4 linked regions of the Saccharomyces cerevisiae S288C genome follow. The protein of the gene in region 2 binds, or shares a complex with, the protein of the main gene of each other region. Each region holds a gene or a part of one and is shown on either strand. Other genes may lie near its edges. The genes, in order: AME1, CTF19, NKP1 and MCM21. A codon is read from its position in the direction of its gene.

What was found.
Region 1: the proteins of CTF19 (region 2) and AME1 are in contact, whole or in part, in a cryo-EM structure (PDB 8OVX), measured with the Saccharomyces cerevisiae proteins. Residues at the interface, in NP_015307.1 of Saccharomyces cerevisiae: Thr222 (codon at 4,298), Asn223 (codon at 4,301), Arg225 (codon at 4,307), Leu226 (codon at 4,310), Lys227 (codon at 4,313), Lys229 (codon at 4,319), Asn275 (codon at 4,457), Asn276 (codon at 4,460), Asp278 (codon at 4,466), Ile294 (codon at 4,514), Gln297 (codon at 4,523), Asn299 (codon at 4,529), Ile301 (codon at 4,535), Thr303 (codon at 4,541), Lys320 (codon at 4,592), Ser322 (codon at 4,598), Arg331 (codon at 4,625), Phe332 (codon at 4,628), Asn333 (codon at 4,631), Gln334 (codon at 4,634), Ile335 (codon at 4,637), Asp336 (codon at 4,640), Glu339 (codon at 4,649), Ile340 (codon at 4,652), Gly343 (codon at 4,661), Leu344 (codon at 4,664), Glu347 (codon at 4,673), Val360 (codon at 4,712), Phe363 (codon at 4,721); in NP_009770.3 of Saccharomyces cerevisiae: Lys249 (codon at 4,298), Leu252 (codon at 4,307), Arg255 (codon at 4,316), Leu256 (codon at 4,319), Leu259 (codon at 4,328), Leu263 (codon at 4,340), Leu264 (codon at 4,343), Asp277 (codon at 4,382), Ser278 (codon at 4,385), Glu279 (codon at 4,388), Ile283 (codon at 4,400), Arg284 (codon at 4,403), Asp286 (codon at 4,409), Ile289 (codon at 4,418), Leu290 (codon at 4,421), His294 (codon at 4,433), Val296 (codon at 4,439), Asp297 (codon at 4,442), Asp300 (codon at 4,451), Tyr302 (codon at 4,457), Asn303 (codon at 4,460), Lys307 (codon at 4,472).
Region 3: the proteins of CTF19 (region 2) and NKP1 are in contact, whole or in part, in a cryo-EM structure (PDB 8OVX), measured with the Saccharomyces cerevisiae proteins. Residues at the interface, in NP_015307.1 of Saccharomyces cerevisiae: Met194 (codon at 4,214), Asn195 (codon at 4,217), Leu226 (codon at 4,310), Lys229 (codon at 4,319), Gln230 (codon at 4,322), Thr303 (codon at 4,541), Met304 (codon at 4,544), Pro305 (codon at 4,547), Gly306 (codon at 4,550), Glu307 (codon at 4,553); in NP_010671.4 of Saccharomyces cerevisiae: Ser169 (codon at 2,278), Asn172 (codon at 2,287), Ser173 (codon at 2,290), Asn175 (codon at 2,296), Ser176 (codon at 2,299), Leu177 (codon at 2,302), Thr179 (codon at 2,308), Ser180 (codon at 2,311), Glu183 (codon at 2,320), Lys238 (codon at 2,485).
Region 4: the proteins of CTF19 (region 2) and MCM21 are in contact, whole or in part, in a cryo-EM structure (PDB 6QLF), measured with the Saccharomyces cerevisiae proteins. Residues at the interface, in NP_015307.1 of Saccharomyces cerevisiae: Asn129 (codon at 4,019), Gly130 (codon at 4,022), Leu131 (codon at 4,025), Gln135 (codon at 4,037), Leu138 (codon at 4,046), Val139 (codon at 4,049), Lys141 (codon at 4,055), Tyr142 (codon at 4,058), Asp143 (codon at 4,061), Thr144 (codon at 4,064), Leu145 (codon at 4,067), Pro146 (codon at 4,070), Leu147 (codon at 4,073), Met150 (codon at 4,082), Asn151 (codon at 4,085), Leu152 (codon at 4,088), Arg153 (codon at 4,091), Leu154 (codon at 4,094), Tyr156 (codon at 4,100), Leu157 (codon at 4,103), Arg158 (codon at 4,106), His160 (codon at 4,112), Thr161 (codon at 4,115), Tyr162 (codon at 4,118), Leu165 (codon at 4,127), Val167 (codon at 4,133), Val169 (codon at 4,139), Arg172 (codon at 4,148), Leu183 (codon at 4,181), Val185 (codon at 4,187); in NP_010604.4 of Saccharomyces cerevisiae: Asp156 (codon at 3,700), Leu160 (codon at 3,688), Glu161 (codon at 3,685), Asp162 (codon at 3,682), Tyr163 (codon at 3,679), Ile164 (codon at 3,676), Val165 (codon at 3,673), Leu166 (codon at 3,670), Glu167 (codon at 3,667), Val169 (codon at 3,661), Tyr170 (codon at 3,658), Met172 (codon at 3,652), Phe173 (codon at 3,649), Gly174 (codon at 3,646), Ile175 (codon at 3,643), Thr176 (codon at 3,640), Phe177 (codon at 3,637), Phe178 (codon at 3,634), Pro179 (codon at 3,631), Leu180 (codon at 3,628), Val181 (codon at 3,625), Asp182 (codon at 3,622), Pro183 (codon at 3,619), Leu186 (codon at 3,610), Glu194 (codon at 3,586), Ile195 (codon at 3,583), Glu207 (codon at 3,547), Val208 (codon at 3,544), Phe209 (codon at 3,541), Glu211 (codon at 3,535).

The regions. Positions count from the first base shown.
Region 1 is NC_001134.8:643,900-650,685, reverse strand, and holds AME1 (Ame1p), read left to right. Parts: upstream 1-3,553; coding exon 3,554-4,528; downstream 4,529-6,786. Other genes in the region: bifunctional precorrin-2 dehydrogenase/sirohydrochlorin ferrochelatase MET8, read right to left, coding at 1-318; NGR1 (Ngr1p), read right to left, coding at 782-2,800; ERV15 (Erv15p), read right to left, coding at 4,708-5,136.
Region 2 is NC_001148.4:514,017-521,159, forward strand, and holds CTF19 (Ctf19p), read left to right. Parts: upstream 1-3,634; coding exon 3,635-4,744; downstream 4,745-7,143. Other genes in the region: SUMO protease ULP1, read right to left, coding at 1-162; VTC3 (vacuolar transporter chaperone), read right to left, coding at 495-3,002; IRC15 (Irc15p), read right to left, coding at 4,718-6,217; SWI1 (Swi1p), read left to right, coding at 6,998-7,143. UniProt on the Saccharomyces cerevisiae protein: Component of the kinetochore, a multiprotein complex that assembles on centromeric DNA and attaches chromosomes to spindle microtubules, mediating chromosome segregation and sister chromatid segregation during meiosis and mitosis.
Region 3 is NC_001136.10:1,235,712-1,242,449, reverse strand, and holds NKP1 (Nkp1p), read left to right. Parts: upstream 1-1,773; coding exon 1,774-2,490; downstream 2,491-6,738. Other genes in the region: putative ammonium permease ATO3, read left to right, coding at 419-1,246; ribosomal protein P2 RPP2B, read right to left, coding at 2,626-2,958; COI1 (Coi1p), read left to right, coding at 3,600-3,625, 3,820-4,138; RNA-binding protein YRA1, read right to left, coding at 4,446-4,841, 5,608-5,892; phenylpyruvate decarboxylase ARO10, read right to left, coding at 6,325-6,738. UniProt on the Saccharomyces cerevisiae protein: Component of the kinetochore, a multiprotein complex that assembles on centromeric DNA and attaches chromosomes to spindle microtubules, mediating chromosome segregation and sister chromatid segregation during meiosis and mitosis.
Region 4 is NC_001136.10:1,100,892-1,108,005, reverse strand, and holds MCM21 (Mcm21p), read right to left. Parts: upstream 4,249-7,114; coding exon 4,197-4,248; intron 4,114-4,196; coding exon 3,059-4,113; downstream 1-3,058. Other genes in the region: auxilin-like protein SWA2, read left to right, coding at 1-1,911; YFT2 (Yft2p), read left to right, coding at 2,179-3,003; HIM1 (Him1p), read right to left, coding at 4,578-5,822. UniProt on the Saccharomyces cerevisiae protein: Component of the kinetochore, a multiprotein complex that assembles on centromeric DNA and attaches chromosomes to spindle microtubules, mediating chromosome segregation and sister chromatid segregation during meiosis and mitosis.

The sequences.
Region 1 (6,786 bases), on a different chromosome or scaffold from region 2:
CGCGTCGTTCTCGTCTTCTAGGTCGAGGTATTCGTCTTTGAAGTCACTGCGGATGTACTCGTAAATTTCATTCTTCGTGGGGTCCCAGTTCGGATTGATAAAGCGTTTAGCGTCTTCTCTGTAGTCGGGCTGATCCTCGTTCTGGATGAATTTTCCAAACTTCGGAATAATGGATTTGTGTAGGTCAGGAGATACTAAAGTCAGCTTGCAACCTGTAGGTATCAGCTTATATAACCTTGTCAAGCCGACTTCTCCGCCTCCGATTAGTAGTATTTTCTTGTCTTTTAATTGATGGGCTAGCTGTAGCGATTTGACCATTTTTTATCCTATTATACACTCTCTTATTTTGCACACTTCATGAACAATGTATGGCAAAAATGTCTGGCACAGCCTTTTATTGAAGTAAATGTATATATATATATATGTGTGTGTGTGTGTCCATCATTTACATGCTACTGCCCGTAGTCATCGGACTTTGTAGCGATTTTCACATTTTTTTTCCGTCAGCATGGCTATTATAACACGTGAAATTATGACGCCAGCTTTTCGCATATATAGTTAATATAAAACACTTTGAAACGGAACTGTTTGAGTAAATAAATGTACTTAGATAGATAAAAATAGATAGGTAGTATAGAGGAAAAACAAATTTGATTAGAATTATGGATCGACAATTGACTAGGTTGTAACTGAAATGGCATTAATAGAAGAAACGTAAGAACGTAGAGACGCAGATAAAACTGCGGACAAGATTAAAATTTTCTTTTTTTGTCTTTTGTAATCAATGTAGAAGAGAAGGATGAATTGGCGGAACATTGTTCCTATTAGGATGCTTGTTCATGATGCTCGATTTCGAATTATTGGAATTCGGGGCTATATTTAAGGGAGGAGTCATCATCCTGGACACGTCATACATATTTGCACCGTTTCCCATTCCGTATGGTACTGGATTTACGTTCATGTTCATGTTCATGTTAGAATTCATGATCATGTTTGTGTTAGGGTTTGTGTTCATGCTTGAGGCCGTTTTATTGCTGTTGCCATTGGGCAGTTGCATAGAAATTGACATCGCGTTCCCAAATTGAGGTAAGTTATTAGTAGCATTGGAGAATTGGTTGCCCGTCGGATGGAGCGAGTATGAGGGACTTGAATATTGGTGTGGGTACAGTGCACCGTCTTCTTGCATATACGGGACATTAGATCTCTGCAGATTAACGAGGTCGCTATGGCTGCCATTCTTGTTCCTGTGATAATCGTAATTATTGTAGTTGTAATAGTTGTTGTGCGCCATTTGCTCCATAGAAAAGTTACCATCCTGTTGCTGCTGCTGCTGCTGCTGCTGCTGCTGATGTAAAAAGAGTCGCCTTTTATCTTCCGCATATTGTTCAAGAATTTGTTTGGAGTTATCGACTGAAGAAGCCGCAGATGGCGCTCTCAGGCCATTTGAGGACATATATTGGCTTGCCCCCATGATGGTCGAATTTGTTTTAGCATTTGAACTGGATGGGCGTCCCCATGATAATCTTATTGGACTGCCGCCCACAATAAAGCCTTGCAGGCCTTGTATTGAAGCTTCAGCATCAATCCTCTTCTCGAATTTAACAAACCCACAGTTTTTACCATTGGGAATCCTGACATTTAGAATGGGTCCAAAGGGTTTGAATAGTGAACGTAATTGAAATTCGGTAGTTTTTGGTACCAGTCCTCCCACAAAAACAGTAGTATTAGTGGGGTCTGTATTATAGGTGTTTGAAGGTAGTGAATCATTTACACGCATGTTTGAAATGCCGCCCTCATTCAAATGCATTGGAGGCGCGTTATGCAAGGCATTGAGAGGAAGCATGTTGCTATTGTTTTGAATGAGATTATTTGCAGTCTTAATCAAGAGAGGGCCATTATTATCCTCCTGATCTAGCTGCTGATGCTGTTGCTGCAATTGTTGTTGCTGTTGTTGTTGTTCCTGTAACTGCAGCATCATATTATTTCTTGGCGTGGCATAAGCGACTCTTAAGGCCCTTCCTTGAAACCATTTCCCACTCATCTCAATCAGTGCCCTGCGGCGCTCATCTTCATCACCGAATCTGACAAATCCAAAACAACGAGATGATCCTGTTAAAGGGTCAGTCATCACGCGGACGGTTTTAACAGATTTGAACCTCGTTTGGAAAAGAGATAACAAATCAGCTTCAGTGGCGGTGGGAGAAAGATCACCAACAAACAAGGAAAATTCTGGGGTAGATGGTATAGAACTTTGTAAAGTAGCTCCAGACGCCCAATTCAATCTGAAAGTCCTTTTGAACGTTGGATTAGTTTGGGAGTTAGTTGTTGGGGAATAAAAATTAGGTAAAGGTGTAGCATTTAATGACAGGGCAAATTTAGCGTCCTTTTGAGTTTCAAATTCGACAAAACAGTATCCGGCATGATGTAATTGAGTAGTGGAAGGATCAATGAAGGATATTCCATTAATATTAATCATTTGGGAATTATCTAACTGATCAGTGCTGTTTGATGCAGATTGCTGGTTTTCAGCATTCTCCTCACTTGTGTTGTTATTACTACTTGAGGTGGAGCTACAAGGAATCAACAAATTTTTTTTGGCTCTAATTAGTTTAACGATAACTTTTTTATCCAGTTTTGACCATATCTCCTCAATCGTGGCCTCGTCGAAGGACGGATCCAAATCTCCCATCCATAACGTTCTTGGGGGTTCAGTAGAAGTTTCCACTGTGGATGAAGGAGGCAATGGAATAATATATGGATTTTCCTGTCTTTGGGAGGCGTTAGCAACGTTAGACATCATTTGTGTAAATTTTTCAGGCAAAAATCGATGGCGAAGGATATGAAAAAGCTGTAATATTTAAAAGATCCAATAATAGTAAAAACAATATAAATCAGAACGAAAGGGAAAGAAAAAAGCCTCCTTTATTAATATTGGAACAGGAAGAGAATATCAAAAAATGAACCGGGAAAAAAATGGAATTACAATATATGACAATATAACAGATTCGATCACGAGAAATCAGAATATTTGGAACTAGGATATAACACGCAGATGGTTTTCCGTACAACTATGAAGAGTCAGAGAAAAAAAAAAATAGTGAATAAGAATGGTAATCTCTTTTATTGCTTCTTTGTCGACTGCGTCTATGTATATTGGTTCTAAAGGGAACAGGGTATGATAACCAGATTTAATTACAAATATGCTTATTTTCACTTTTAATGGAGTGTATGAAGGTGCGAAACTGCTTGCTTGACTAAGATTTGGTCTTGAATACAAGTTTGGGGAACGCTTTTTGGAACGGCACTATCGCCCCTTCACAGCCGTTTGAAGCTGGTAGAAAATATTTTATCGTGTTGTACGGAGAAATTTAATGGTGTATCCAAATATTGTTAAAGGACTAGTAGAAATGATAATGATTGATTTCATTAGCTATTATGGCAAGGGTCAACATCGTTGCAGTATAAGAAGCGATTGCTCTCATTTTTTTACGTGTCCTGTGTTGCTCTGTATTGTCTTGACTATTTGCGTGTTCATTTAAAGAAAAACCTCAGTATGGATAGAGACACTAAATTAGCTTTTAGGCTGAGGGGCAGTCATTCAAGAAGGACAGACGATATAGATGATGATGTTATTGTATTTAAGACGCCAAATGCTGTTTATAGAGAGGAGAACTCACCTATTCAATCTCCTGTTCAACCCATTTTGTCTTCACCAAAACTTGCGAATTCTTTCGAGTTTCCTATTACCACTAATAACGTAAATGCGCAGGACCGTCATGAACATGGGTATCAGCCCTTGGATGCAGAAGACTATCCCATGATCGACTCTGAAAATAAAAGTCTTATAAGCGAATCGCCGCAAAATGTTAGAAATGATGAAGACCTTACTACTCGTTACAATTTCGATGATATACCCATTAGACAGCTATCATCGTCTATCACTTCTGTGACCACAATTGATGTTTTATCTTCTTTATTCATAAACTTATTTGAAAATGATTTGATTCCGCAAGCTTTGAAGGATTTCAATAAAAGTGATGATGATCAATTTAGGAAACTATTGTACAAATTAGATCTGCGACTCTTTCAAACGATATCAGACCAAATGACCAGAGACTTGAAAGACATATTAGATATCAACGTGTCGAATAATGAGCTCTGCTACCAACTGAAGCAGGTACTTGCTCGAAAAGAAGATTTGAACCAGCAGATAATATCGGTACGAAATGAAATTCAAGAGTTGAAAGCCGGTAAAGACTGGCATGACTTACAAAATGAACAAGCCAAACTGAACGACAAAGTGAAGCTAAATAAGAGGCTAAATGATTTGACTTCTACTTTGCTAGGCAAATACGAGGGAGATCGCAAAATTATGAGCCAAGATAGCGAGGACGATTCAATACGGGATGACTCAAATATTCTGGATATTGCACATTTCGTAGACTTGATGGATCCATATAACGGACTTCTGAAAAAGATAAATAAAATTAATGAAAATCTTTCTAACGAATTACAACCAAGTCTATAGGGAATTGGTTCAAAAGATGTATATATATATATATATATATATATATGTATGTATATATGTATATATGTATATATGTATTACTTCCATACTAAGGAAGTTGTGTTATAAGGTCATTTTTATGTGGTAGACATACTTCATAGATATGCACAAATCTCTCTTTTTTTTTCCTGTTGTCGCTATTAGCTTATCAAATTTGCATCATTTTCAAGTAACGCTGTGACCATTCTGTAGAAGTAGAAAAAGAATATGAGAAGGTAAAATCCCAATTTTAAAAAGCATTCAATTTTGCATCTACCCAATTTTCTGAAAATATCCGTGGCGTCCAGTAGATGTGTTTTCTTGTAGACTTTACTTGCGTTATATGCTAGAACAGGGACATTCAAGAGAAATACGAACCAGTACCCGTTAAAAAGAAACAATGCAGAAATGAAAGCTTGTAGAATTGCCTCTGGTACACTCAACCTATTCACCCTCTTACACAGTTCGATTGAGTTGATATAGTCTGCTTCAAGATCACCATATAATATAGTAAAGTATATCTGGCAAATGGAATTCAAACAATTCAGTATAAGACCCGTCACGAATAGCGATAATCCGGTTCCTGACATCTTTACTCTTGGCTTCGAACTTCTTGGTGCCTGCAGTTAGTTTTATCTTTAGTAAAAAATGATAATGAAAGTGCTTATATGAATAAAGGTATTAATGTCTTCGTATTTAGCAATGTAATTGAAAAATCATTCGTGGCCCACGACAATATTTCCAAATTATCACAGCTTTCGATAGAAGTGAACGATTTTGAATTAGAGAGAGTAGTAGTGAGCTAGACGTACTGTGTTTTGAGAATTGAAGTTTGTATAGCAAAACTATACTATCATAATGCAACATTCAAGAAAAATAATGGTATAGAAACAAAAAATAACTCCGATACGGGGAGTCGAACCCCGGTCTCCACGGTGAAAGCGTGATGTGATAGCCGTTACACTATATCGGATAATAACTTATGTTTGATTTAACCTTAAAGATTTTCTATGTCAAGTTTAAACTGGAGGGCTTTCTATTGCCGAACAATCCTAGCTAAAGGCTTTTTTCCCTATTTACAGAAGAAAATGTAATGACTGAAGATTTTGAAAGGTCTCGTTTGATGGCTAGCAGGCTACACCTAGAATTACCCAATTCCAAAGGTTGGTCATCATAGGAAAACAACCAGCATGAACCTTACCCTAGTTCTCTTGCTACTATTTCACATCATCAGGTGATGTCAACTCAGCTTATTGTCAGTGACGACGGATTAGCATTGATACCTGATGTCATTTTAACACGTGTGTTGGATGGGATCCTATACACACCCAAAGAAGATGATTTTTACAACGACACCACCACCATGTATTATGTTTTTGCCACCTGGGGTGATCAAAGTTGGTCATCCTTCGGTTATGATAATACAGCAAGCCTGCAAGAGCACGAAAGATATGTTTTCTAACTTCTTGCCGAGCAGGGAATATTGGGGATTTGGACCGTTGGAATAAATGGGTCCTCAATATTGACAGGAGTCGGTTTTGGAATGAGAATTAACTATCATTTAGTGATGGTAATCCTATTACTAGAATATTATCAGATACAATGTTAGAGGACAATAGGAATACATAAAATAGAAGAAATAATGATGGCATTACATCGAAATATCGATTACACTATATCTTGGAGGAGAACTTTTTATTTTATTTTGTATATCTGATGCTATAGCCTCTAACAATAAGTTAATCCCAACAACTATCTCAATATTCATATAATCGTCTGAGAGATTGATAACAGCTAGTAATGTAGCTAACAGTCAAAAGATAATAAATGATTCATCTTCCAACAGCTTGCGGGGAAAGTTTTTCACACTAATGTGCGGTGTTGTTTTCCTTAACAGGCTCTGAGCAAAATATGGAGAGAGAGGTCTCATTTACTTTGCCATTCTTCATTTAAGCTTGAGGCTTGTTCTACTGAAATGTTAAGTTCTCAGAAGCCAACTTTGGATCAAAGGGCTTTGTTAGTAGCAAAACGCTATTTCTATTGATTTTGATTATTTTTCGAAACATTAAGAGCACAATGTATATTAATTTTCCCTGATGAATAGTTAAGATGATTAGATGGGCTAGGCGCTTAAAAATGAGAAACAGGTGAAATTTGAGATAAATGTTGATTTCGTTGTTGCTAAAGGCTATAATATCAGGTATACAAAATATACTGGAAATATACCTCGAGAATCTTGG
Region 2 (7,143 bases):
TTTATAAATACCACTAAAACTGGCTGATCTTCTAGACTCGGAGGGATTGTTCAATACCCGAGGATAACACCTATATGTAGAAATTGGGGAGAATAAAGGGGAGTAAGGGTTCTTTTTATGATACTGTAGTGTGTTCCGGTGCTTATCTACTTCAACTGACATTATTATGATATCCAAAGGTCAGAGGAAGAAGAGGAAAAAAACTGAAACAGAAGTAGATATTGATGAATAATTTTAATTAGCAATATAGATTTGCGGAGCTGAAACGAACGTTTCAGCTATTTTTTGATCTGGGTTTAACTATCACACACATCTTCTCATTATGTGCATTTTGAATTTTGAAAATAAAAAGAGGCGGCGCCGGCACCTGCTGAAAGCTGTTTAATATGATTTAATACGGAAGAGCAAATATGTATAAATAGAGAACAATTAATTAATTATGATAGTAACTGGTACTTGTGTAATATATGTGTATATAAAAAATATACATGTTCTTATTCCCCAACCAAATTGAAGATAAAATCTTGAATTGGTTTTAGTGTACGGGGTAACGAAGGCTGGGAGGAAACGTTTACTAATCCTCTTTCCCTCCTAGCGGCCTCTTTAAAAGCCACACTAAAGTTAACAACCAAGGTAACGATTAATACAACTGCAACCAAAATAGGTCCCACAGGTGCATCCAAATGCTTACCACTTCTACCTTTAATAAGAGTTAATCTTTTTAAGTAGGTTCTATAAGCCCATACTCCGCAAAACAAAGTCAAAAAGAAATATACATAGGCCAACAGATCAGCTAGTTGTGGAAATTCGGCTTTTTGCACTGAATTATAGATAGAAAAGGTCAATACACTCAGCAATGTGGTTACACTTAACCATCTATTGAATGTACGTTCATTGGCGAGCCAAACTTTTGCCTCAACTTTGACAGGACCGGCATTTTTCAAAAGGTGAACTGGTTTTTTAACTCCCGGAGGTAATTGGAAAGAAGAGGCACTGTCTGTATCGTCGGAGTATGGATCATTTCCATTTTCTGAAATATTTTTTCCAGCAAGAATTTTCAAGAAAGCTGCATTCGTTTTGAATTTCTTCCCTTTTTTGACTGCAGATTTCTTGGGCAATGCAGTACCTTCTTCATCTGATGATTCGTGATCTTCTAAATCTGCAATAACGTGGCGAGTATTCTGATCTTTTTGCCCTTGTCTTTCAGTGGTCTTTCCATCTGGTACAGAGATTTTGGATAACCTTCTCATATTATCAAGTTTATCATGAATGCTCTTTTGTTTTTGTAAAGTTTTCTTCTCTTCTTCGTAAGCCTCCTGAGGGTTCTTTCTGATGTCGGTTTCTAAATCGGGCAACCAGAATGGCAAAATGTTGACATATTTATCGTCTTCACCAAACAGTGAAGCCACACCTTGCAAGTACAAAGAAAATTTTGGAACTTCGTTAACTAAATGTGAATTAGTTAAATCTTTAATCCACTCATAATTAGGCATTTGAGAATTATCTTGGTTTATAACCTTAATCTCCATTACAGAATAGGGGAACTTCGAATATTCTCCTGCTCTTAAAAACCTCAATGGGTTGGGAATATTGGAATCAATATCGTCACGGTGCCAATTCTCAGGGTTCCTAATGGGCCTATTTTTGTCCAAAGAATCCTCTCTAATGTACATGATATTGGAATCGATAGTGACTCTAATACTTTGATCTCCAGGAATTTGGAAAGCAGTTCTATTATAGGTAGCTCTCAAAACTGGCTGCAACTTCTCCTCAACAATAAAGTTTTGGATGTTATCAAAGTCTCTAGAAAGTTTTTCCAGTTCCTCCTTTTGAGTACCCCTTTCTCTTAGTTGATTAATTAAATAGTTTTTGTAACTGGGATCATTTTTAAAAATAAAATTGTTGATGAATTTGGCTTTCATTTGCAATCTGATTTCTTCAAAACTTGAATTACCAGTTTCGGTATTTTCTGTAAAAGTTCTCTTTTCCAAAAATATGTCAGGTTTGTCTAGCAGTTTACCGATCCATCTTAATCTCAGCGTAGGTGCACCGCTGATTTTCAACAATCTGTTATTGTACAAATCAAAAAAATCGTTGTCGAAATATAATGTAGTGATTGTTGGATCATATGACTGTGGGAAAATAACGCTCTTTGATTTTCCAATTTCAACATCTTGGTTGCTATTACCATCACTAGAAAGGCTGTTACTCTTTGAACCAATATTCAAGCGCGCTTCAGGTTGTACGCGGACATCTGATTCTAGATTATCGACGAAATCGTCATTTTCATTTGGAACCGACGCATAAACCAAAGCAGGTAGATGCCTTAAGATTCTAGCCTTAACCTCCATTATATTATCATCATGAACCCAAAACTTGTAGCTTTTAAAACTTGCGTCTTCAAGGTTAGAAAAATGTGATAATTTAGAAGTACTTGCTAATGATTTAGACACCGTATTTGGATGATCATAATTTGATCTCAAGAACTCGTACAGATATGAGATCCTATACAACAAGGGAGAATACTCTTCTGAATTGTTGAAAGGAAGTTCTTTCAATCTGACTTGTAAAAGAGACTTTACAGAAGGATAGTTTGGATGTAATTTATCGTGTTTCTTCACAATCTTGATAAACCCAGTAAAATTTAACCTGTCAAAGTTATCCAATCTTTGAGCCTCATCTAGACATTCTTCTAAGGTGTTTTTGAACTGCTCAGAATTTATTTTTTGGATTTTTTCAGCTGATTTAGTGTTTTCCTCTAAATCATCTAATTTTCGCAAGACAGCATTATATTTGGAAATTTGAAATGTGTAAACCTTTTCTAGTTCTTTATCCAAGGCCTCCACAAAATCAGATTCATTCCTTTCGGACCAACTATCCACGGAACTACGGCCATCATGTATGACGCTTTCCTTTAGTAATTTCTTCAACCTTTCATAGTCGATATATGAATCCTTCCAGGGAGGATATACGTCGTTAGCCAGTTTAATACCAAATAGCATTTTCAAACTCTGAAAACCAAGGACAAATTCTGCTGTTCGCTCTAATAGCCAAATGACCTATAGTGATAATAAAAAAAGCGCTAAGGAGGTACTACTTGGATTAGATCACTCTTATGCGTATTATTACCCGCCAATGGGCCCTCTCGATATTGAGAAGATGAAGTAAGTTCGAGAAAAGATGTCTGATGTAAGCCGCTCTCTGGCCTCTATTTAAAAGTTCTTCCTGGATGAAACCCACTCGAAAGTTGGGTGTGTGCGTGTGTGTATGTTTCCACGTTTCTGCCTTGTGCTTTCAAAATCGCATGCACGTGCTTGCGACTGCACTGTGTTGTATTAAGCCACGTGGGCCCTCGCACATTGAAAAAAAGAAAAGCTGTACAGGGAAAAATGTGCCAAGAAGTCCAAATACCAATAGCTGTGCAAGTTACTCATTAACATCCAAACCGTGAAGGTCACGGCATATATACTCTGGCGTTCTACTATGTGGCCGGTAATGTAACCGGTAATGGTGACTATCTAATAGTTGGAGTCCGCCGAAAAATCAGAAACGCGTAATTTAGACTTATATAAACAGCTATATACCTTGGAGCTAGTGTGATCTTGTTGATACTAGGTCGGCAAAGAACGCAAATATGGATTTTACGTCTGATACGACGAATTCGCACGACACATCGAATTCGCATTTAAGTCTGGAAGACGCTGTGGGTACACATCATGCTGGTGAAGCAGATGTAAACATTGATGGGGACGAGAAGCAACAACTATCGCTATTAGATGATGATCAGGTACGCGCACTGAAGCTACAGGAGGAGAAGGATGCGCTGTTGACAAGGAGAAATACTCTTTTACAAGAGATCCAGACGTACCAAAATATCTTGATGAAGGAAAATAACAGTAAGACTAAAAATGGTGATATCCTCCAAAACGATATCACACAGGATTTTCTTAATCTAATCTCGATCTCATCCTCTAATCCTAATTCGGCGATAAGTGACCGCAAGCGGGTCGAGAGGATCAATGGGCTAACTAACTTGCAGAAGGAACTAGTAACAAAATACGACACGTTACCTTTGTTAAATATGAATCTACGGCTAAGTTATTTGAGAGACCACACATACCCGCATCTTCAAGTTTCTGTGCAATCAAGAGACAGAGTACATAACGATGGGATTGAAGTTTTGGTGGTCAATTATAAATTCTGCAGAAACACGATGAATCCTTTTGAAATTCAGTTCAAAATGTTCTATAAATTTGAAGATTCCACACTGCTGAAGTGGGAAATCTTGCGAATTTCCACAAACGTTAGACTGAAGGCCAAGCAATTACTGGCAACACGTAACTTCCAGAAGTGTCTATTAAGCCTTTATGAGTTTGATAAGATCAAGTCCAAAAAAACTGGAATTTTCCAAAATTTGATTAATTTATTGAAAAGGAAAACCAGGTGTTATCTAATGAATAATAGTGACTCATTAATTGTGGAAAGAGTTATTAGAGAAGGAAGACTCACGACGATAAAATTGCAGATAAATTTCATCATTACAATGCCCGGTGAGAGAGGCAAACCTCGTAACTGTTTTCTGCCCATGAGTAAAATTTCAATAGCGCTATGGAAGGGGGGAGAAAGATTTAACCAGATAGATTTGGACGAGATATGCTACGGACTTATCAAGGAATATGGTGTGAAAACCGGGTTAAAGGAGATCTGCAACGTTTGCCTATTCCCGGACATGTACGCCAGGTGATGTTCCATTTGCCATTGCCAACTGGACGGCTTGCTTAAACGATTCCGATAAGCTCGGATGAGGGAACGGTACTTTACAGACATCATGGGCGGTAAGGCCAAGCGACACCGCCATCGATGCTTGCGACAGCAATTCATTTGCATCGTCGTTTATCATATGAACGCCTAGTATTTTCATGTCACGAGAATCTATCAGAACTTTAATGAAAGGAGAAACTGTAGTATTCTCTTCCCGTGGTAATAACGTGTTATATCTAACGTTCTGTGAGAACAAAACCCTGCCTTTTTGATATGGGATGCGAGCCTTTGCCAACCCCTCCTCAGTGTATCCGACCCAGCCAATCTGAGGCTGACAGTACAGCACATTTGGTGGGAAGCCACAATTCGAGGTTCCGTCGGAGCCTGTACAGCCTATTGATTGAATGGCCCTTATAGCTTGTTCTTCCGCTTTCAGCGCCAGCATGGGGCCCAATGTAACGTCTCCTATGGGTTTAATATGAGGGTACTTTAGCAGACTTTGGGTTTGTACGTCAACATTTTCTACAAAATCCCGTTCGTCTAGACCAATGCTGGAAATATCTAAACCTTTTAGCAGGGGACGTCTACCAATAGAAACCATCAAGACGTCGCAATGATGTACATATGTTTTCTTTGACACCTTGTTAAGCAAGGTGATGTTCAGCTGACCGGCAGCATCGGCTTCCGCGAGCTGCACTCTAGTGTCTAAAAGAAAAGCTATACCCTGACACTGCAAGAGGGTCTTCGTGGCAGAAGCCAACTCATTGTCCATATTTTGACAGATCTCGCTTTGAGATTCAACGATAGTAACCCGAGAGCCCAAATTATTGAATATGCATGCGATTTCTAGTCCAATTGTACCTCCTCCCATGATAGTAAAACGTGAAGGTATATAATCCAGTGACAATGCCTTATCAGATGAAATTATCTTGTCATTATCTATTGCAACACCAGGACACTGAATAACCGCAGATCCGGTCGCCACAACAATATATTTCGCCTCTACGATGAACGGTTTCATGCCGCGCTGCGCAATCTCAACGTGGTGAGGATCTTTGAAAGCAGCCGTGCCTTTATACACAGTAACATTATTTTTAGATAGCTCACGTTTATACACATTGCCCAACTCTTCTATATTATGTTTGAGTGCACTCTGGGCCGCCTGCATATCGAATTTTGCAGGAAACAGCCGCGTGCCACGTTGCTCGATAAGTTCTTGCTGTTGTAGCAGCCGATAAAGATAAGACTCATATAACAAGGTCTTGGACGGGACTGCCCCGTCTACAAGGTAGGCGCCCCCCAGCGAGGCACGCTGGTCAACACATGCTGTGAGCAGGCCTGCTTGCGAAGCCTGCATCGCTGCAGTAAAGCCACCAGGCCCGCAACCAATTACCAGGACATCGTAAACTGCCGCAAAATCCTCCATCGTGCTTAATATTTCGTCTTCACCTCCCATTACCAAAAATGCTCACCGTTAATTATATCATACTTCTCTTCTCCTCTCGTAAAATCGTGCGCATGTTAAATAGCCGCCGAAACAGCAGATGCATGCCTGCAGGTCTGGGTGTACCCCCTGCCTGAGTGTTCCACCCAGGCCTCGCCGGAGGAAAATGCCACCGCACTCAAGTTCGCACAGAAACTACCGCATAAATTTATTCTAACCCGGAACTGACGTTTATCGTGATATGAACTTTGGGTATCTCCGATTACGAAACGACGCCACCCCTCCTTCCCCAAAGCACCGAGAAAAGATTTTTTTTAAAACTGAACGCTGATTGACTTTACGTATTATTACCACTATGCATTATTGTTGTTTCTGTTGTGGTTGTTGCCAGTTGTAATCATATTCACATTGCGTTTTAGTCATAACCACCTTCCGGTATTCATCATTCGTATTGAATAACAATATTTATACCGCAAAACACTATACGGCAAGGCAACTGATTACACTTTGTTTACCTTATTTTTTTATTATTTATTTTTCTAGAAAGTATTGTTGTGTGGCTCTATCCTTATTACACCATCTCTGCTTTGGCATTTCGCGTTGTTTCCTCTCACGGATTGCAGATTATTGTTCACCAGGTAATAATCACTGACTGGCGGCTATTTTCCTATTACACTCATTATTCTTAAAATTTTCTTTTTCTATCTCTATTTTCTTTCTTTTCGTGTCTTATAATAATAATAATAATAATAATAATAAAAATAGTAATAATAAAAATAGTAATAAATAAAGATGGATTTCTTTAATTTGAATAATAATAATAATAATAATAATACTACTACTACTACTACTACTACCAATAACAATAATACTAATAATAATAATACTAATAATAATAATAATCCTGCTAATAATACCAATAACAACAATAGCACAGG
Region 3 (6,738 bases), on a different chromosome or scaffold from region 2:
TGTGCCAGACAAAAGACGCCGAAAAAAACCGGAACTGCCGCCGCTGGTCCTGAGAAGAGCAAGAACCATACGGAAGAGTCTCAGCAGGCGCTGCTCCAACTTGGCACACGGCAGAACCTGCACTACAATAGCGTTAGGAAGAAGCATCATTTTTTTCTACTGTTTTTTTTTTTCTTGGGGAACCGCTCAGGGCCTAATGGAAACACCAATGGATTTGAGAATTTTAACGCTATTCACGATGACCGTGACTCAGAAGGAATATTTAAATAAAACAACTTTTTAGCAAATTGAATACTCATCGATGAGCTTCGCTTGATTGCCTAATATTCCCCCAGTTTTATAAACAGTTGGGTCACATATAACTGAATACATTCCCAGAAAGATTTAGTAAGAATAAAAAATAAAAATACTGGTTAAAATGACATCGTCTGCTTCTTCTCCACAGGATTTGGAAAAGGGTGTGAACACTCTAGAAAATATTGAGACGCTCCCCCAGCAGGGTTCGATTGCAGGCGTTTCGCAGGGCTTCCCTAATATTCAAGAGATATACTCCGACAGAGACTTCATTACTCTAGGATCCTCCACCTACAGGCGCAGAGATTTGCTCAATGCACTAGACAGAGGGGATGGGGAGGAAGGAAACTGTGCAAAGTATACTCCGCACCAGTTCGCTAATCCGGTTCCTTTGGGTCTCGCATCGTTTTCTCTGTCATGTCTAGTTCTGTCGCTAATTAATGCGAACGTTCGCGGCGTCACTGATGGTAAATGGGCGCTAAGTTTGTTTATGTTTTTTGGTGGTGCCATTGAATTGTTTGCCGGGTTATTGTGTTTTGTCATTGGGGACACATACGCCATGACTGTGTTCAGTTCTTTCGGCGGGTTCTGGATCTGCTACGGTTATGGGCTAACAGATACTGATAATTTGGTCAGCGGCTATACCGATCCCACAATGTTGAACAATGTCATTGGGTTCTTCCTTGCGGGCTGGACCGTTTTCACCTTCTTGATGTTGATGTGTACATTGAAGAGCACGTGGGGTTTGTTCTTACTATTGACGTTTTTGGATCTTACCTTCCTACTACTGTGTATCGGCACCTTCATTGACAACAACAATCTCAAAATGGCCGGTGGCTATTTTGGAATTTTAAGTAGTTGCTGCGGTTGGTATTCGCTATACTGTTCTGTGGTGAGTCCTTCAAATTCTTATTTAGCCTTCAGGGCGCACACAATGCCAAATGCTCCTTAAAGGGTATGAAATGAAAAACAAAACTTATAAAACATTAAAATGATTTAATAATAATGATAACGTTACGTTTAGACATAGTCTTTTTTTTTTTTCTTGGCCAAGAGTTTTTATAAAAATTTATATATCATTTACCCACAATACTTAGCAAATTGTTCGAGACGAAATATTCTTTTTTTGAATTGTTACCGATGGATGGATTTGTTCGAAATAAGACCCAAGGCTTAGGCATCTTTTTTTTTTTTTTCTGTAATATTTGGACTAAATATAAATCAAATTTCAAGAAGGAAGGGAAAAATCATAAAATAGTGAAGAATTCAGGCAATCAAGATTTAATTCGCATGTAAAATATCTCTTTCTCGTGAACAAAACTTTCGTTTGTACCTTTTGAGTACAGATATATTGCTTTGTTCAAAGGTGATATAAAAACGATGACGCGTCACAGGGGAAAAGAGGTAAATCTACATGCGAAGAAATATTTTTGGTAAATGTGCACAGAAACTAAAGCAACAATAGATTGTAGGAATAAGATGACAGACACATATAATAGCATATCCAATTTTATAGAAAATGAATTGACCGCACTGCTGTCGAGTGATGACTACCTCATGGATGACCTAGCAGGCGAATTACCAAATGAAGTGTGCAGATTACTAAAGGCTCAAGTAATTGAAAAGAGAAAGGATGCCATGAGCAGGGGAAAACAAGACTTACTGAGCAAAGAGATATACGATAACGAGTCTGAATTGAGAGCCAGTCAATCGCAGCAGATAATGGAACTTGTTGGAGACATACCAAAGTACTCTCTTGGAAGTGAACTAAGAAATAGAGTTGAGGGTGAACCTCAGAGTACATCGATAGAGAGATTAATTGAAGATGTGTTGAAGCTGCCGCAGATGGAAGTAGCAGACGAAGAGGAAGTTGAAGTGGAAAATGATCTCAAAGTTCTAAGCGAGTATAGTAATTTAAGGAAAGATTTAATACTGAAATGTCAGGCTCTCCAAATAGGCGAAAGTAAATTATCAGATATTCTGAGCCAAACAAATTCTATAAATTCTTTAACAACTTCCATTAAAGAAGCTTCTGAAGATGATGATATCAGCGAGTACTTCGCCACTTACAATGGGAAACTAGTAGTTGCGTTGGAAGAAATGAAGCTATTATTGGAAGAGGCCGTGAAAACATTTGGCAATTCTCCGGAAAAGAGAGAAAAAATAAAAAAAATCCTAAGCGAGTTAAAGAAGTAATACTATTTTCAATTAATTGTCTATATAGAATCTTATACAGTAATTAATTATTTTTAAATCACAATGGAATCGAGGATTTACACCAGATTTTGTAAAATGAAGGAAAACAAGAAAATTGTTTATTAATTAAATTCCTTAATCGAATAAACCAAAACCCATGTCATCATCAGATTCTTCCTTAGCTTCTTCTTCCTTTTCTTCTTCAGCAGCATCACCACCGGCAGCAGCACCGGCAGCACCGGCAGCAGCAGAAGAAGCACCACCAGTTGGAACAGTAGCGAACTTCTTTTGACCTTCAGCGATGATTTCTTCCAAAGAGCCCTTACCTTCCAAAGAGGACAACAATTCGTTGATTCTGGCTTCATCGACTTCAGCACCGACAGATTCGACGACGGCCTTGATGTCAGCGGCGGATGGGGCAGCGTTACCACCTTGAACCAATAATAAGTAAGCAGCTAAGTATTTCATTTCTGTTGTTGATTAATAGATATTACTTTCTATATTTGAAATAATCAGTTTAAGCGGTAATAAATTCGCGGACTATTCCTTAACGATCTGTAACTGGAAGTTAAATCAAAGATACGTAAAGTAATAGTTTAGAGTAAGTCCAAATATCATCTCTTAAATGAAAAATTTCAGATACCGAGAAAATTTGGAAAAAGAAAATTATTACAATTTTTCTGCTTGGTAACTTTACACGATCCATACTGTAATTTTCGCATTACCTGCGTAATGACTAGAATGGGCACGTGATCATAAAATTAGAGACGACAAGAGCTCTCCAGTATTCTTAAACGGTAGCCCTTGGTTGTGATACAGCCACATGAACAGATTCCCACTGCAGCCTTTTTTGTTGGGTTCGAATAGACAAGATAAATAAGAGCAGTTACACTATATAATATATATATATATATATATATATATATATTACATTACTGACCTCAAAGCATCACAAATGTGTCGCTTCCTTCTTCGCCTTTTAGTTGAAGACATCCTTTTCAATCTTCCTCCTTACAAACCCGAGCGTCCTGCTTGCATATAAAAAAATCAAGGCAGATGAAGAGATAAATATAGTAATATTTCATTCTTTGAGCCGTACTAAGTATACAATGTCAAATCCATTTCAAAATATAGGGTATGTGTAAAAGAAATAGGGAAACATCTATTCGTAAAGCCTAAACTAACATTGGATATCTTTTTCTATTTCCCGGACTTCTTTTTTGGTTATTTCCTTATTGGCCTATCCCTTGAAGCAGAGTTTGATTGCACCATATATATAACCAAAGTGAAGACGAAAGTAGGAAAACACTACCAATGCGATTTCAACAGTAAGAATTTACTATACATTTCTGCAGCCGGGATTGCGTCTATTTATGTGGTCAAGACCATAGTGAAAGCTAGAAGAGATGCTAAATTTATACCAAAGGCGCGGGGAAACAATGGTGAAGTGAATGAAAAAAACTATTATGATAACCTTGCTCAAGTCAAACCAGGGTTCCCCATACCTAAAGATGGAGGAGACAACATTGATTGCTCTGAGGACCATCAATTAGTAAGAAAGAGTAAATATGAAGGTAGCGGGCTTAGTGCTGTAACAAGAAAAAGAGGTGACAAATTAGGTTTTTTAGATAGGAGGAGAAACGAGTAACACACGTTTAATCAACCTATCCATTTTTTCAATGCAGTATTATGTATATATATATTCATCGCACTGTAAATAGTGACATATTATGAGTCAAATATGCCGAATAAACTTTAAAAGTGAGAAAAGCCGTCACCGATGAGTAGGTTAGCGTCACCTAGTGGCGGTGGTAAATATTATTACATAAACATATCAAAGTTTTATTAATACATTTTTTAATCCTTTAAATTTTCTGGAAACTAATACATAATGAAACTCGGAAAAATTAAATTTAATAAAACCAAATTAAATCAAACAAAAAATTGACAATTAATTATTTCTTTTCGAAATAGTCCGCCATTTCCTTGTCCAGATCTTCAAGACTTTTCTTAGCAGGCTTTTCTCTCTTTGGTTTGTTTTGGGATTTTGCCATAGCAGCTTTTCTATTTGGACCCCTCTTTACTGGTCTTGGAGCGTTTCCGCCTTTTTGTGGCATAGCCTTGATCCTGTCGGCTAAACTTTTGACTGGGCGTTGGTTTGGATCAACGATTAGGTTAAGTCTCAATCTTGATCTGCCTCCATCGATTGGAGAGCCGTTAAATCTTTCAACAGCCCTTCTGGCCAATTCACCGTTTTTGAATGTGATGTTAGCCATACCAGTAGATTGGCCCCTTTCGTTATAACTCAACAAAACTCTTTGAACACCACCTACTTGAGATGCAAAAAATTCCTATAATAAAAAAAAAAAAGTTAGTCATATATCTCTATGATATAAAATCAAAGAAGGAAGGGACAATACACAAACAATCAAGGAGTTGAGAGTATTAAAAGTATACCATTGCGTAGGAAAAATAAACCCTCAAATAAACATGTACCACGATGGGTGAGTTCCTCTTTGGTTTCATTAGGTGTCTCAAATCAAATATTTTTGTAACTATCATAATAAAAAAATGAAGCGATGCACTCATATCTTTTCGAACGTTCATGAAAGACATGTTTCCCATAGCTATTTTTTGAAAATGGTGCCATTCGAAACTGAAAGCTACTCCCTCTTGAAAGGATACAAAATTAATTGATCCTTCCACAACTTCAGTATTGGATGATACGCTTATTAAAAATAGGAACTAACTATCACGGTCGAGGCGACACAATACGCCAGCTTAAAAATGTAAGATTGACAGATTAGCAGATAGTCAGATTGATTTGAGTTAACCCAGCCAATAAGAACAAACCCATTCTCAGTGGTAGCTGGTAATTCCAACCTTATAGGCCATGATTTGAAGTATTGAAAAAAATTGGTATGGTTGGCTTATGAAAACGATACTCTTTTTGTATTTTCTCTAGCGAAGTATTTCGGACTCTTTCTTCATCTCTAAAAAGAGAATTCTTGATCAAAAGCGTGTGCCATATCCTTCCTTACAAAGAATATTTCTCGTATCCACACGAGACGATGCGAGTAACTAAACAAATAGCTCTCATTTCACGTATTAACATACTCTTACAGCATCCTGCTTAATGTCCCTTGGCAAACCTTCGACGTTGACCTTGACCTCTCTAGTGGTGTCCAAGAGCTTGGCAACTCTAGCGACTGCGTTTGGAGGTGCCCTAGTATTTTTTCTGATAGGGCCTCTTCTGTTTGGAAGGCTCCTACGTTGGCTACCAACTTGCTTACCAACTCTTCTTGGACCGTTACCACGAGTACCACCGACACGGGCTCTATTACTTCCTGCTTTGTTAGAGCCAATGATTTCGTCTAAGGATTTATCTAAGTTAGCAGACATTTAGCAGATGTAGGTATTTTCTTAATATGGATTTCTTAAAGTTTCAAATAGAACGAGGGAGATTTTTTTATCTATTTGTCTTCGATAGTTTTCGGATAAAACTTCTTCTAACAAAAAAACCTACTACTAAACACACGATAGGAATGACAGAAAAAAGCGAACGGAAGAAGTGAAAAAGGATAAATTTGGCGGCCTTTTATAGTTCTTCAAGTGGTGAGCCGAAAGCCGTGGAAAAACAACACGTCTCCCCGCCCCTGCCTCGTCGCGAAAAAAAAAATACTAGCAACTGGACAAAGAACTCTGTGGTAGTGGTAAAATAGCTTTAATATACGTATTTACTTTGTAAATATAGTTACATAAGGGTTTTTTATGTGTTAATGAACAGAAAACGAACAATTGGTAGCAGTGTTTTATAATTGCGCCCACAAGTTTCTATTTTTTATTTCTTTTAAGTGCCGCTGCTTCAACCATGCACTTTAGCTGTTCGGGGAAATCCAATTCGCCTAATTTGACTTCTAAAAGTTCTATCCCGCTTCTTTTGTTTGAATTCTTAAGCTCCTCCAATTTCAGTGCTAATTTAGAGGGACATTGAATGAGAGTGCTATTAGTATACTTTCCGTCGAAGTCTCCGAATGCTTCAAATAGTTTGGTCCATTTCCAAGACATAACGTCGTTATACGACCTGGTAGGGCCCATGATGGCTCTTTCAATAGTGTAGCCGTTATTGTTCCAAATGATAACTTCTAGTGGAATATTGCACTTCAGAATGGTGCTCAGTTCTTGGATTGTCATCTGTGCTGCACCGTCACCTTCAAACAAAATTAATCTTGGCTTATAGTCCTCTTT
Region 4 (7,114 bases), on a different chromosome or scaffold from region 2:
TCCATTACTGGTTCCGCTGTTGCAGATGTTGCAAGGACGGATAAAAGCCCCAATGATAGTCTGCATTCAATTTCAGCTCCTCCGCTGATACCGTCACCGAAGGTAGATTTTTCTGCACCTCCTTTGGTCCCAACTAATAGCACCACTAAATCTAATACTGCCAACAACACACCTCCCTCGGCTCTTGCCAATACCGATGACGACTTCAATCAACTATTTGGTATGGGCACAGTAACTACAACGGATACGATCCAAAAACCGGATGAGGATTACTATGGAAGCAAGGAAGACCACCTTTACAATGGTGATGACGCCTTAGTTGATGAAGTTAAGGATATGGAAATAGCAAGATTGATGTCTCTAGGTTTATCAATTGAAGAAGCCACTGAGTTTTACGAAAATGACGTAACTTATGAAAGATATTTGGAGATTTTAAAGTCAAAGCAAAAGGAGCGCAACGATCTAGCTATAAGAAAGAAAGAAAGTGGTATAAAAATGGAAAAGTCAGGATTATCCAACATTGTTGGTACAGATAGCAATAATTTATTCAGCATGGCCACTGATTTTTTCAATAAGGGTAAGAAACTGGTAGACCAATGGACCTCCTTCCCACCTGAGGCAAATGATAGACTGAATAATTACTCAAAAACTCATGATAAGGTTGAGGATTATGATTTGCCTCAAGTAAACGACTCACCCAATAGAATTTTGTTTGAAGATAATGAAGTCGTAGAGAACTTACCACCTGCCGATAATCCGGATCAAGATCTTTTAACTGATTTCGAAACAAAGATTGATATAACAAAGAGGACAGCGCCTGATGTCTCCCACTCCTCCTCACCGACTTCTGGTATACTAATTGAAGAAAATTCGCGAAGAAATGAGCCCCTGATAGAGGATAGTCTTCTCGACTTTTCAGAAGGAAATCTCACCAATAGTAAAAGCAATGAAGATAGCACCCTCTTCAATGAAAACAGCAACACTGACTCTACAATACCCATCTCAGATATTGAATTATCGGGGTATAACGAATTTAAGGCGAAAGGTACTAGTTTGTTCAAGAACGGGGATTATATTAACTCATTACAAGAATATGAAAAGTCTTTAAATACATTGCCTTTAAATCATCCATTGAGGATCATTGCATTATCAAACATTATTGCCTCGCAACTGAAAATCGGTGAGTACTCTAAGTCCATAGAAAACTCCAGCATGGCTTTGGAATTATTCCCATCAAGCAAAGCTAAGTGGAAGAATAAAATCTCAAATAGTGACCCTGAAAGATCATTTAACGACATCTGGCCAAAGATTATGATTAGGCGTGCTGAGTCTTTTGAACATTTAGAAAGTTTCAAAAAAGCACTAGAAACATACCAAGAGCTGATTAAGAAGAATTTTTTTGATGATAAAATCATGCAGGGAAAAAGAAGATGCCAAGACTTTATTAATCCTCCCCCTGTTAAAAAATCCATGCCCGTTAAGAAGAAGACAACGACAACCTCGCCTGCAACAAAAAAACAGAACTTAACCGCTTCTTCTTCAAATTCTCCAATTTCTGTTGATAGCACTTCAGAAATAAAAAAACGGGAGCTAGAAAACGCTAAACTGGCGCTATATGATAAAGTATTTGAGAAAATTAGCTCCTGGAAGGATGGCAAAGACGATGACATTCGTCATCTGTTAGCAAATTTATCCAGCTTACTAACATGGTGCAATTGGAAGGATGTCTCTATGCAAGATTTGGTTATGCCTAAGAGGGTCAAAATTACATACATGAAAGCTGTAGCCAAGACACATCCTGATAAGATACCAGAGTCCTTGTCCCTGGAAAATAAGATGATTGCAGAGAATATTTTCAGTACTTTAAGTATTGCTTGGGATAAGTTCAAACTGCAGAATGACATTAACTGATTTCCCTTGTGTGCCTGCTTCGCTCAGTTGTTTTTGATATGTACTTTATACAAATATATATAGGAAAACAAATTCTTCAAAGCGCGTTAGGAAAAAGTATGGAAAGGCTTAGTTTCATTTATTGACTTACAAGTGGCACCCAATTTGATTAATATGAAAAACAATCTGCAAAAAAAAAAAAAAAATTCAAAATATCACAATGTTAAAACACAATAGAAATAGGGCATTGTATTAAAACCACTGAACGACTAAAAATTGAAAAAGATTATGATACGTCAGCTCAATTATTGGTCAAGGAAGGCGTATCTCATTTACCCCTTTCAAGTTTTTGTAGGCGCATTATTATCAATAGTAGTATCTTCAGAAACATTAAACCATCAAAAAGAGACATGCGCTCTATTGAAATCGTCCAATATTTTCAATGTTATTTTTGCATACAAAGCGAACCAACTGTGGCCATTTTTATTCTTTAGTTTGGCTTTTCTGCAAATATACTTCCACTATCTAGCAAGAATGGATATATTGCCTTTACCAATATCAAGTACCGAAACTAGCTCTTCCTATTTAACATATACTAACCATTGGCCTCTGCTCAAAAATAGAATAATCAGTATTATGATCACTCAATATGCTTGCAAGTTCGTTCTAAAATATCTATTATTGTTTTTGAATTTCCAATTTATCGATCATGTTTTCATTTGGACAGGGGGAGAATGCAGTTCTGGTAGTAAAACGACATCAGCTGAAAAGTGCCGTCTAGAAAATGGGAAATGGGATGGTGGGTTTGACATTAGTGGACACTTCTGCTTTCTTGTGAGTATAAGCATGATTCTTTGGATGGAACTTCACTTATTCAGTAGATTTGTTCAAGCTGAAGATATGTTTTGGGTTGTGAATAAGTGGGTACGAGCTTGCCTTGCCATTGTTTGCGCTGTCCTAGTAATTTGGATATGTATTCTCTGGGTTACCGCTATTTATTATCATACTATCTTGGAAAAAGTGTTAGGTTGCCTTATGGGTTTCATATGCCCTGTTTTCATATACCACATTCTACCCAAAATTGGGATACTACACAATTACTTATATCTATGATAAACAGAGAAAATTAGCTCTATCCTCTTTCTATAAAGTATATTTTTGTTAACATTCACTTGAATATTGTCGCGAAAGAATGGTTTAATTTTAATTCCAAATCATCCAAAGAACCGAGCAATGCAATTTCCCATTTACTTTTATTATTTTGACTAAAATCATGAATATCGTCCAATATTGAACATGAAACTATTTCATTTTGTTTTACAAACAACTCGACTTTAATATCCTTCACAAAAAACGAAACCATTGAAGATTCTAAATCTAAATCTAAGTCGTGGATTATCTTCTTAGCTTCTAAGTCCTTAAAAATCTGTCGTCTTTTCTGTACTTCCACAAGTTGCAGGAAGACTCTTTTAGCAAATAAATAGGCGTCATCATGAGATATCACTAGTCCCCCATTGGTGTCATCAAATATACCTTGGACATCAATGAAACTCGGGATTGTATGCTTGAACAGGAACCAACTATTCGATTTGATCCTCTTTTTCAACAATACATAGTGAGGTTTTTCAAATTGGGATGTCCGTTCGCTGAAGACTTCCAGTCGTATTCCCAGCATTTCTCTATCAACAAATATTTCACCGCTAGCATCTTTTATCTTAAGGTCAATAGGGTCCACAAGAGGGAAAAATGTTATACCAAACATTCTATAAACATTTTCCAGGACAATATAATCTTCCAACTCACTTCTATCACTTGTACTAATATCGTCTATTTTTAGTTTTCGCTTTCTTTTTGAAGGTGACGTTAGAATGTCTGTATCCAATAAATCTGCCACCCCAGGATCAAACATTTGATGCTGAACCATTGGCTGGGTCTTTAAAACCCATTCTTGTTCTGGTAAAATTTCCTCATTCTCCAGCTTAGCTCTTTTCTTTGGTTCATACGGTATTGGCGTTGCTGGTATATCCGCTTGCGCCCTTGATATGTCCTTGTCATCTGTCTCTTCCAATTCTGGATGCTCATTAAATAAAAAATTATTCAACTGTGGGAATTGATCGAATAGATCTTCAAATTCTTGTACTATAGGATTAGCGCTCTCCTCATTTTTTCTTTTATCTTTTATCTTCGCTTTGAGCTTCTCACGACTTTCTTCTAATGAATTGACTGTGAAGATTCTACTATGTTAGTGTTCAACTTAATCATTTTTTTAAAAGAAAGAAAATTGTTACAGCCTCAAAATCACATACTTTCACTGAGTAAAGATTCAATGTCCTGCTGTAAATCATCGATTCTACTCATTGCCAGGAGCGTTACTGATAGTTTGAAAGAATTGCTCAAGTAAAGAAATCACATTTTCCCCTCATTATCCATATGGCTTTTGTTTGTTTTTTCTTCAGTTTTGAAATATGCGCGTTTTCTTACCATCATTATAAACTTAGGGAAGATCTATCATAGAATTGGTCGGCCATTACTGGCGATTAGTAAAACAATACATAAAGTTTGCATATTCAATGCGATAAAAATTTAAGACGGCCCAGGTATCGAATCCATGATATAGTGGTTCTTTTATGTATTAGGCTACTATTTATTTAATAACTTCGCATCTATCAAAAGAAAAGACTGACTGTTCACACAATCATATCAATTTGATAACTGCTAATTACTTCCAGCTTAGGTCCCGCCTCTTTACTTTTCCTTTCAATCGCCATCAAAGAGGCAACATAAGAAACCTTTGAAACTGGGACAGCGTATCCTAATAATGCAGATCCTGGCATCCTATATATACTGGAAGCAATTATTTCGCTTAACTTTGTTCTTAAGCCAATCCTTCTGGCCTCACTGATATATTTCTTTTTATAAACTAAAAGATAGTGAGGATAATAAAAAATTTTTTCCAAGAAAGTGGAGTTTTCTTTACCCAATTCAACGTTTATAGGATTTCCGTGCTGTCCACACATCGGACCTGGCCTCAAAATAACTAGCTCCTTTAGCTTATTTGGCAAAGCTTCATCCAAGTCATTTTCTAATTTAGCTTTTATTCTAAAATACTCGAAAGTTTTACTAAGAAAATCATTATTAAAGGCAGTTGTAACCACCAACCTTTTGTTAGTTGTATTCGTGAATTCTTGTGCTAAATTAAAAGGTAAGTAATAGTCAGCAAAGGAACTTGGTACCTGAGTTCTCCGCACTCTAGCTGAGGTGGAGCCCAAAGAGCACACCATAGTGCTAATATCACACAGACTAGGCAAACTTCTACCGGGAACGTAATTTTTGTTGTCAATGTCAAACTTTTCCAGCTTTTGTGTTCCTGAGAATATCCGTGGAAGCAATTTTGGCCAAGTTTCAGATCTGGGGATGATCAATTGCGTTACAGTAAAATTACAAATGATCTCAATACCTTTTTCCTTTCCGCATGCATAATGTAGTGTGTAACTGAACTGTTTCTGATTATAAACAAAAGAATAACCATCTTTTCCCCTCTCTTCAGGCGTATTTTTAATAAATCCTTCTTCAAAATTATCATAACAAAAAGTATTAGGACTAGACGGTACTTTTTCAGTGTCTTTTTCTTTCCTGCTTCTCAAGTAATATCTGCCACCTTGCCAAGTAACTGATCTCATATTTATATAATCAATGGTCTTCATAAATGATTTCTCCTCATTGATGCACCTTCTATTAACACAAAAGACATGTTTATTGAGAACGACATTTCCCTTTATTTCACTTAAGCTATCAAGCTTGCCTTGTAGGTCCGAAACATTTTTAATATATAAATTTATGTCCAACAGGTTCTCTAAAATACCTTTTCCTACTAAACTAGATGATCCAAACAATAAAACGTAATCTGTAAACGTGTTGACACTATAACTCATTTCTGATCAACCTTTCTAGTTTGGAATATTCTTCAAAGGGTCTATATGTATAAAAAGCTGTCATTTATATTAAAAAGAATTTATAGCGTTTACTGCGGATCAAAATTAAATACGTCAATTTTTCTTAAAATTTCTTTTAATCTAAATGACACAAAAAATGTCACCCATCATTATATGTATTGAAAACCAAAAAAAAAAAAGGAAAATTATACTTTCAATGAAAGACACAAAAATGAAGAAGTTCAAGGATATAAAAGTTAGTTTTTACCTGTTGAATTATATGCAGAGTTACTGTTAAATTACAACAACTTATCGTTTCTTGATGAGTATTCAAGGTGACGGAATATTATCATATATGATGTAATAAAATGACATAAATGATAAGAATGCGTTATCAAATTTAAAAGCAACTGAAACGCACGGATTGATGATAAAAAAGGATAACGATTGGTAACATTTAGACTAAAGAATAGATCGTAATATAGGAGATTTGAGAAATATGTGGGTAATTAGATAATTGTTGGGATTCCATTGTTGATAAAGGCTATAATATTAGGTATACAGAATATACTAGAAGTTCTCCTCGAGGATATAGGAATCCTCAAAATGGAATCTATATTTCTACATACTAATATTACGATTATTCCTCATTCCGTTTTATATGTTTATATTCATTGATCCTATTACATTATCAATCCTTGCGTTTCAGCTTCCTCTAACATCGATGACAGCTTCTCATAACTTATGTCATCATCTTAACACCGTATATGATAATATATTGATAATATAACTATTAGTTGATAGACGATAGTGGATTTTTATTCCAACATACCACCCATAATGTAATAGATCTAATGAATCCATTTGTTTGTTAATAGTTTGAATGTTTTTATCGGAAGAGGTTTGGTCATTACGTCTGCAATATTCTTTTTGGTTTCGATATAGCATACGTGCAGATGATTTCCTGATACTTCATCTCTTAGTCTCATTGCTTTAGTACCAAAAAATCTGTTTCTAAATTTCTCTTCATTATTGGATATAATTATACTGATTGTAGATTTACTGTCGGTTAGTAATCCTTTAGTAATTGGTTTCTTGTTAAGTTCTTGCACAAGGTGACTGAGGTTATTTAATAATGGGACAGATTCACTTATCGCGTGTATTTCTGCTTCCGTAGTTGAAGTACATGTTAATGAAGCCTTGGTGGACTTTCCTCCAATTACCTTTCCATTAAGTAAATATATGTTGCCAATTTGTGACTTGTAATATGGTTGGTTACCATATGAAGCATC